Linked DNA regions of Saccharomyces cerevisiae S288C. Changing the gene in region 2 together with the main gene of any one other region gives a genetic interaction. Each region holds a gene or a part of one and is shown on either strand. Other genes may lie near its edges.

Region 1 (4,922 bases), on a different chromosome or scaffold from region 2:
ATAAGGAAAGTCCGGGAACTGGTATCAAAGTATCTAAAAAAAATTTCCCTGTTCTACGAGGACTAACAGTGGATTCAGAAGAGTATGGCTCTTCTTCATATAAGGACACATCATGTCAAAAAGGAATTCCCAAAAATCTTTTTGATGATTTAAACCTGAACCTACAAACATTACGTCTCGAAGCTCAACAAAAGGAACTTGAAACTGCTAGACATATTTCACAATTAGAAAAGGAAGTCCAGAGACTCATGGTAATAAAAGAAGCTTCAAAAGATTCAAATTTTCAAACAGCACGGCTTAAAAATCTAGAAATTCAGAAAACCTTTTTAGAATCTAGAATTAATGATTTAAAAAATTTATTGATGGTCAAATTATCTCAGGCAAGTAAACTCTGTGACCAAATTACGATTCAAAATAATGGACTTAAAACATGCTCCGAACATGTCACTATTAAAAGGGATATCATCGATCTTGAGAATAAATGTGATGTTTTGAAGCGCCAGAACGAAATACTTGTAAATAATATGCAAAAAATAACCCCCGAACTTCATACCTATTTGAACGAATCGTCCTGCTATCTGGGTAAATTATTAAAAAGCTATCCTACCAGTGCACGGCCACCTTCAAGTGAGAAAGATAATCAAATATATGAGAAAGATTCGCTGAACAAAATAGAAAAAGTAATAAATGAAATGCACGAAACCGTGCGTGCTAAAGAGAAATTGCACCTTGAAACTCAGAAGCTTAATGATGAAAGAGATTCTTTGCGGGCTAATTTACTCGACAATAACAACAAGTTGGATGCGCTAAGAAAACTCTCTGATGGAAGCTCGAAGTCTATGGACCTAACAAAGAAGGCTATTCACCTATCACAATCCGAGCTCGAAAAATATCGTAAAAACAACGACGATTTACAGAAGGAGATTGATAGAATTAAAACTGAACAAGCTGAACAGGATGACAAGCAGGAACAGCGTGGCGCCATCACTCATGGAAATTTTGATGCGTTCCACAGAATGAAAATCAACAATCTGAAAGCGGAACTGTATATGTCGAAAGAAAATAGAGATTCCCTCAAGGACGAACTGCTAGCTTTAAAAAAAAAACTATATACTCTCGAACAAAAAAAATAGTCATTGGAAGACGTTGTTACGCACTGGGAAGTCAATATGTACAAAGTATATAAAAATATATTTAAACACCTATAAGGACATTGTAAACATTAAGTATTAATAGAAGGAGAATATAATTGCCAACTAAGCCTTTTGAGGTTAATATTCAATGGTGCAAAATTAGTAGCCGCGGTTATTATTATTCGCCGGGTAAAGAGCCCGCTTTTCTAGGGGGATTTTAGGTGAGCATGCCTCTAGAAAGCCAGAAGGACCCTTAACGAAGCGAAACTGTTCAGAAGAATGAATAAAAAGACACATTGAAAAAAAGAATATTGTCGCACTGTACATAAGGGAGAAGCTGTAATCCCTGGCAAACTGCTAATATCTAATAAAAATAATAGAAGATGTCATCTGCAAAGACATTTACTAAGCATATCTCGTTTGATGATCTGGCACCTTCCTTAATTGATGACCAAGCTACCATTATTAAAAATGACAGTCACCATGTTGGCTTGAATAATCATTTTTTACATATACCTCCACAATTTAATCCTGTTTACAAAAATACTTTGACCGGTAGCCATGGCTCTAATGACCTTGCCACTGACGAAAGCTTGGACTCACCCGAAGACGAAGAAGCTTCTTCGCCACTACAACTAGGAACTCCAACGTCTACAACATCTGGAGTTCCTCACTTCTATACTCAGGTATTTTCTCCTGCAGCACATGATCCCTCCAAAAGCTATTTGAGATCGCCCAGCGTTGAAAGAAGTAGAAGTGAGTCTCCAATGTTCAGGTCAAGAAGAAGGACTTCAGTGAGGTTGCCTCCCCCTCCAAAAGTATCCGTGCTAAAAAAATCTCGAAAAGCTGCTGATGAACAGGGCCCTATTGATGATATTGATATTGGTGATTTGGATTTTGAGCTGGAAAGAAAAATGACCAAAATGACCGAAAGAAACACTCAAAAAAATTCTGGATCAAGGAAAGGCTATACGCAAGCTGCATTTGCCAATCTTAATGAAGTTGAAGATAGAATTGAGACCAAGTCAATGGTAGATTTATCCGAAAGCGAAAATATGGAGAGCTCAAAGAAAAGGTCCAAGTCGTTTGCCGGGATGACAGACGAAGAATTAGCCAAATTAGAGGAATTTTATATAAGTAAAGGAAGATCGAACAAGACTAAAATAGATCAATTTGATTTTGGTGAGCAAGTTCCAGTCTATTTGAACACAACAGAGTCAAAAACGGATTCAAGCAACGTGACGGACCCTTTAGCAGCAATTTATCCATCAAGGCCTACAATTGTTCACAATGCAATTTCAATGACAATTGATCATCCAGACTATGAAAATTATATTTCCAATACAAAAGAAAAGCTCAATTGCAAAGACAAAGATGACGATGTAGATTTAAGAGTTGTTTCGTGTTATATATCAGGTAGGAGATATACTTGGTCATCTGTGGACTGGTATGTTGAAAATTTGACAAGAAATGGTGATCATTTAGTCATAATTACTACAATTCCTGAGTTTGAAGCAAAGATTGATACTCTAGCATATAAGGAGAAAAGAAGGCACCGCTTAGAAAGGATGACTAGCAATACTAGTGAAAGCATGACTACCGCGTCACATAGCCTTATAGGCCCGGATCTCTCTAGTCCTTTATCAACGGGAATAAGAATAGAAGCTATTCATAATGAGGCTAAGCAAACTTGTAGCGATATTTTAAATTACTACGCGAGAAGATTGGCAACTAAAATAGTTAGGATTAGTATTGAGATGGTAAAAGAAAATTCAACAAGATCAGCCATAATATCTGCGACCTCTCTGTATAGGCCAAGTTTGCAAGTAATCAGCACCGTTAGTGCCAACATTCAAATCAAGTTTAGAAATGGAAAAGTGAAACTACCATTTTTTTTAATGAAACACTTTGCAATGCCAGCATTTGTTGTCCCATTCGAATTCATCAAGCCTGAGCTTTTAATAAAACCTAGAGTGGATAAAGATGAACAGGACAACAGCGATGATTTGAAAACGGAAGTGAGAAAAAAGGAACGATTGCAATGGCTAAGTGCATTAATCAGGAGAACTTTGGAAAACCCTTTCACAAAACATAAAGTGGTTGATTCGGATGATGAAGAAAGCGATAGTGATGAGTCAGTAACCTCTGTAAATGAGTACTTCCCAATCTCACCTGAAAAAAAGGAAGAAATGGAATTCTTCGATAAGATGGGATATGTTAGACCAAAACCGTCGAGACAAGTACTATTGGATGATAACACTCTTATGAAGTACGACAGTTCTGGCCGAAAGCTAACTCCTATAGAATCGAGAAATTCGAGGCGCAGCTCAAAGCGGAGTTCAAGAATACAATTCAACAATAACGGCATTTATAAAGTAAAGTCCATGGTTGATGACATTTACAACCACGAAACTGCCTCTACGCCTCATATCAAGACAGCACTAAAATGGGACAATGAGGATCCGAAAATGAAGTTCACTTCACATCCAATGAGAAAAACAAAATCCGCAGGGCTATCACCCAGAACATCCTCCACTTCATCTTCTTCAGGACAGAGAAAAGCGCATCACCACCACCATCACCACAACCACGTTTCAAGGACGAAAACTACCGAAAGCACCAAATCAGGCAACAGCAAAAAGGACAGTTCCTCATCCTCAACAAACGACCATCAATTTAAAAGGTCTGAAAAGAAGAAAAAAAGTAAATTTGGCTCGATCTTCAAAAAAGTTTTCGGATGAACCGGATTAATACAAGTAAAATCAGCAAAGATATAGAAGACAAAATAAGCGTGAAAACAATCATAAACCACTCACAACGGGGGTTTTCAGCTGTTACTCCTCCATACATACATTTTGATAAAGATATAATGTTATATTTCTTTTCGTAATTTTGTTTTACTTCGGTTTGCTCTATAGATTTCATCAGCCGCACCGAAAAGGGAGATCAATAAGGTACCCTTTAAAAGGGATAAGAAGCCTACATCACCCCAATAAATGGAGTAATGGCCAGCATTGGATGAAGAGAAGAATTACGGGATACTGGGATAACACTGTTAAAAATGCTTCGCGACGTGAGGGTCTTCTTCATATAAATTGAACTGCCAAATCTCTTTCACATTATCCAGGATAGTTTGGAATGTGTGTTACTGAAGGATCAGAATCAATAAATACAATCAATACAAATATTTAGCGCATAAAATTCAAACAAAGTTTACTGAAATGAAGTTAGATTCAGGAATATACTCAGAGGCACAAAGAGTTGTGAGAACTCCAAAGTTTAGATATATTATGTTAGGGCTGGTGGGCGCTGCTGTGGTACCGACCGCATACATGAGGAGAGGCTATACGGTTCCTGCACATAGCTTAGACAACATCAACGGCGTAGACACAACTAAGGCGTCTGTTATGGGTACAGAACAGAGAGCAGCTATGACGAAGGGTAAGAGTTTACAAGAGATGATGGATGATGATGAAGTAACGTATTTGATGTTCTCTTCAATCATGTAAGGGAATTTGTACTTGGTTCCCTGCATTTATGTTCTTTGCATTTTGTTTTCGCATTTAATCATAGTACGACAAACGGGGAAGGGGATTGTGATTTTACATAAGGCCCCTCCCATCATTGAGAAGGTTATTAATCAATACATATATAAGCATTTTCTTTTATACATTAATTGAACTGATATTTATTTTATGACGCAATAAAGCCTCTAATGCACTGCTATTATTGTTACTGTTAGTAAATATTCAACTAGCATAAATGATTGATGAGGGGATTCATTGCAAA
Region 2 (5,113 bases):
GCCAGATTTTCCGGCAGCTTTGGCAATATTCATTAATATTGGTACAAAAGCCTTGTCCCCCTTGCCATGAACCGAGAATGGGAGTCTGACAATTCTTGCTGAAACACCTTTGTCTTTGTAACTCAAGGCAACCTGTTCAGTGACAGCACGCAAAATTTTGGAATCTTCATCAATACCATCCTGTTCGTTAGCAACTTTGTTTGGTCGCAAAGAAAGTGTACCATTCGTATATAAGAAAGGCTTGTTAGAACCTTTAAGTGACTCTAGCATAGCTACAGTGGCCTGACGGTCAATTTCGCAGCACTGTTCAAAATTTTTAAAATCATGCACAAATCCTAAATGAATAACGCCATCAGATTCAGTGGCACCTTTTTTCAAAATTTCCAGATCCTTGAGATCACCGCGAAGGATTTTTGCAGCAGGATCAATCGACTTAATCTTTGCAGCAGCCTCGTCTGACCTTGCCAAGCCAACAACTTCATGACCCGAGGATATTAGTTCAGATAATACGGCAGAACCAATGAAGCCAGAAGCACCAGTTATAAATACTTTCATTTTTTGATCTCTTTTTTATTTTCTTTTGTAAAAGTTGAGTTATCACGCCTTAGCGCTTATGAATACAAGAGTGATTGTAAGCATAGTTGATAGAAGCGGGAGCCGTTATTTATACGTTAGTTGAGTACTTGAGGGTCTTCATCGCCTACTTTTTTTCCTTAATATCCTTGTGTTAGTAATCATATCTTCAGGAAAGCCAAGAACTAATGGCAAATTAAATCCGCGGCTTTCCCTTTAAACTTTTTCCAGCACAATCTATTATGTTGAGAAGTTCCGCTAATTTCCGCATTGGAAAAAGAATCTCATCTGCAAAAACGATGGTTTCTTTCTTCCACGGAAGACTTATGTCCGTCCTCTCTATTTTCATATTGTTCTTTCTCTCTCTTTTTGCATAACGTCACAATACCCTAGTGCTACCGTCATTGGCGCAGCATAAGAGTATTGCATTTCATGTCTTCAGATTTTGCCTCGCGAAAGAGAAAACACTAAGAGGTGAAAAACAATAAAATTATGTTCCAGTGTGTCATACGTGAGGTTTTATCACGGGGCCACCGTTCTCATTGGTTACTTGGTTGTAAATGCTTTGCGTTGTGATAAATATATGGCATGAAAAATCATATGACTTCAAAAATGAACAGATTCCAGATGCCAAGCCCGCTTTCCTTCGGCTAACTAGATGCGCGCTCGCCCTTGAAATCCTTAATCAGCACAACTCAATTGTATGGACGTGAGCTCTGACTTTTGCTTCCGACAATTAGGCCTTTCATATCTGTCCTTCTGAGATGTTATGTATCATGCATTTTGTATACACTATGCAACACCCTTCGCAATGGCGAAAGCGGAAAGTCATGGCACCATCAATCGTGCTCTGACCAGTATGTAAAAAATTTCTTAAGCCTCACCATGTTACAGATTGGCCAGAGCATCTGGATATTCACCACACCTGATTGGGAAGACTCATAGTTTTATGAAAGATTTCTTCAGAAAAAATGACATGCTGATTTTGTCTACTTGCGTGTGCTTTCAGTTCTTTACCAGTACGATTTGGTCACGTGACACGCGATCAACTACATTCAATCCATCTGCCCCTTGCTGGTTCCGAGTATCAATTCTAAATTGTGGCTACCACTATAGCAATAGTACGCCAAGCTCGGATGCAAATCACGGATATCTTCTTAGCATCCGAGTTCAACATCCGAGTTCAGCATCCGAGCTTTGCGGCGAAAACTTAACAAGATAACGGATAATCAAAGTTCTCTGTGATGTTACGGAGTCTTTGGTCTGCGCTGCTGACTAAAATAGTGTGACACAACGTACATAGCGCCACCCATATTGGCCGATAAGGACCAGACTTGTGGCGATGACTGTTAACTCTCCGCGAATCTTTTTCGAAGTCGCAGGTGGCATTGCAGAAACAAAAATGTGTGGCTTCTGAAAAAAAAAATAGGCACCCCATTTGATGTAAGACATCTGGCTACCCCTTGTACATTTCAGTCACTGAGCATCGAAGGCACGTCTTTGCAGCATGCAATAGTGTTCGAAGTTCTTCCATTTACGGTGGCTCCCCTCACTGGAACGGTGATGTAATATGTAGATAGCTAAAACATTTCGCAGGTCCCTAGGAACTGGACGTCAAGATGAATAGGTATTGTTAAAAATGCGTACCTGTTGAATTGAAGAGGTCGGAAAAATCAAAGTACTTAAACAGACGATTGATTCGACATTTAGCTATTCAGGTTGCACTTCTTGAAGGTTGAACAAAACATCAAGAGAAAATAAAAAAGAAAATATAACAAAAAAGAAATGTCAAAAGTTGACGTAAAAATTGGAGCAGACTCGATCTCCTCTTCTGATGAAATCCTAGTTCCTTCGAGACTCGCTGATGTTACGCTAGCATTCATGGAGGAGAATGACGCAGCAGTTCCAGAAATCACGCCTGAACAAGAAAAAAAATTAAAGAGAAAGCTTTTTCTCACAATATTCACCTTTGTCTCTGCCATTAACCTTTTACTTTACATGGACAAAGCCACTTTATCCTATGATTCGATTCTAGGCTTCTTTGAAGATACAGGTCTTACCCAAAATACTTACAATACTGTAAATACGCTGTTTTACGTTGGTTTTGCAATCGGCCAATTTCCTGGACAATACTTGGCTCAAAAGTTACCACTTGGGAAATTCTTGGGTGGGTTGTTGGCCACATGGACTATACTTATTTTCCTAAGTTGTACCGCATACAACTTTTCCGGTGTCGTTGCGTTGAGATTTTTCTTGGGGCTAACAGAGAGTGTTGTTATCCCGATATTAATTACCACTATGGGTATGTTCTTCGATGCTTCAGAAAGAGCTGCTGCTCAGCCATTTTTCTTTGCAGCATGTATGGGGTCTCCAATTCCAACTGGGTTTATTGCTTATGGTGTTCTTCATATAACAAATCCCAGCATTTCGTTATGGAAAATATTCACTATCATCATTGGTGGTTTGACTTTTATCATGACGGTTGTTGTAATTCTGTGGTTTCCTAATAATCCTGCTGATGTGAAATTCTTTTCAATACAAGAAAGGGTATGGATTATCAGGAGAGTTCAGGCATCCACAGGCTCTTCCATTGAACAAAAAGTCTTCAAAAAGAGTCAATTCAGAGAGGCAATGAAAGATTATATAACCTGGTTATTTGGATTGTTTTTTCTTCTTCAACAGTTAGCCAACAATCTGCCCTATCAACAGAACCTGCTATTTGAAGGAATGGGTGGAGTTGATGCTCTAGGTTCGACATTGGTATCAGTTGCCGGTGCTGGTTTCGCCGTCGTTTGTGCCTTCATCGCTACGTTGATGTTAGCAAAATGGAAAAATATTTCAGCTTTAACAGCCATCTTTTGGACTTTACCAGCATTGGTGGGATCCATCGCTGCAGCTGCTTTACCATGGGACAATAAGATTGGTATCTTAGCAAATATCTGTATGGCAGGACAAATATTTGGTATTCCTTTTATTATAGCTCTTAGCTGGGCAAGTTCAAGTGCATCTGGGTACACCAAAAAACTCACAAGAAGTTCGGTGTCCTTATTTGCGATGGGAATTGCTAATATCATATCACCACAAATATGGAGAGAGAAGGACTCTCCTCGCTTTTTACCTGCCTGGATTGTTCAAATCGTTTTATCATTCTCTCTTGCACCAGCCATTTTGTTACTGATCCATTTCATACTAAAAAGAAGGAATAATCAAAGACTAAAAAATTATGACGAAAATTTACAAAATTATTTGGACAGAATTCAACTCATTGAAAGCGAAAATCCTTCTTCCATTGAAGAAGGGAAAGTGGTAACCCACGAGAACAATTTGGCAGTCTTTGATTTGACTGATTTAGAAAACGAAACTTTTATATATCCTTTGTAAATATTGATGTTTTGTTGTGTAAATGTTCTATCTGACACTTAATAATTAGAAAATTAATTTTTTAAACTTTCCGGCTGCAAGAAAGAGGAACTGTGTCTCTTTGAAAGGCACAATTTCCCAAAGAATCATTTACAATGGTAAATAGCTTACTGCTTAGAAAATAATAGATAATTGAATAAATTTATAGAGGAATTTCTTGACAATTTCTTCAAAACAGCCGGTAAAAGTCCATTAAAGATTAGTTTTTCTTAAATAAATCACCTAAACTTTCAAATTTAGCATAAAAAACATGTAGATATTTGTTCTCTGTACTTTATAATCTAACATTTTATAAGACAGAGACTAGTAACCCCTCTAGCCTGTGGTTAAAATACGCAAAACCTTTGAACCCTCAATATTTTTGCCATAATAATGACAACTATATTGTACCCATTTGTTCTTGAGTTGTCCGTATGGATGGAAAGCAGCACTCGAGTTTGCTGAAATTACATACCTCGGTATGCAATATGCCCAGAAAATTTGTAAATGATAATTTACATAACAATTCAAAACATATTGATGTTTTTCGTGGGTAACCATAGTTCTTGGAATGTCAACTGAGGGTATTTGCACTTCAAAAAAAAAAATTTATTAAATGAGACTATATACAGTGAGCACAACCTGTCTAATACAACGGCAAAAATTATATACATTGGTAGATTTTCAAAATTGAACTCTTTGTGCTAAAGAATTGTCACAACAGTTTAAAAAATAGTTTGAATTCTTCAAATTGACCCCATATTAATAAGACCTGATGCGATTCCGGTCTCACCCAGATTAGAGAGGGAATTTAATTTTCTTAGGACCGTAGCTACCAAAAATCTTTGTGTGGTATTGATTATATGATCGTGCTTGCGAAAAAAATAGAAGACTAAAAGTAGCATTAGTTTACTAACTTTCTCCTCGTATCTTTCAAATTTGTATTCCCCTCAAAAGTTACTCAGGTTAGGGAAAATTCCAAGTAGCTTATCAAGATCAATTGCCATTAGTTGATTCAAGGCTTCATTGTCATAATTCATGAGGTCAATTTCACTCTGTAAAGATTCGTCAACATCTTCAGTGAAGTTTCTGGAAAATTCTTGTGCGGAAATGAGTTTTTCTAATTCTTCCAAAATCTCCA

Evidence for each region. A genetic interaction does not mean that the proteins touch.
Region 1: mutations in YCT1 (region 2) and YGR237C together harm fitness less than expected from each alone (positive genetic interaction), as found in Saccharomyces cerevisiae (one large-scale study listed by BioGRID).

Annotation. Positions count from the first base shown.
Region 1 is NC_001139.9:962,250-967,171, reverse strand, and holds YGR237C (uncharacterized protein), read left to right. Parts: upstream 1-1,516; coding exon 1,517-3,874; downstream 3,875-4,922. Other genes in the region: KEL2 (Kel2p), read left to right, coding at 1-1,133; SPG1 (Spg1p), read left to right, coding at 4,355-4,642.
Region 2 is NC_001144.5:27,751-32,863, forward strand, and holds YCT1 (Yct1p), read left to right. Parts: upstream 1-2,358; coding exon 2,359-3,954; downstream 3,955-5,113. Other genes in the region: YLL056C (uncharacterized protein), read right to left, coding at 1-555; YLL054C (uncharacterized protein), read right to left, coding at 4,923-5,113. UniProt on the Saccharomyces cerevisiae protein: High affinity cysteine-specific transporter. Major contributor to cysteine transport when cysteine, at low concentrations, is provided as the sole sulfur source.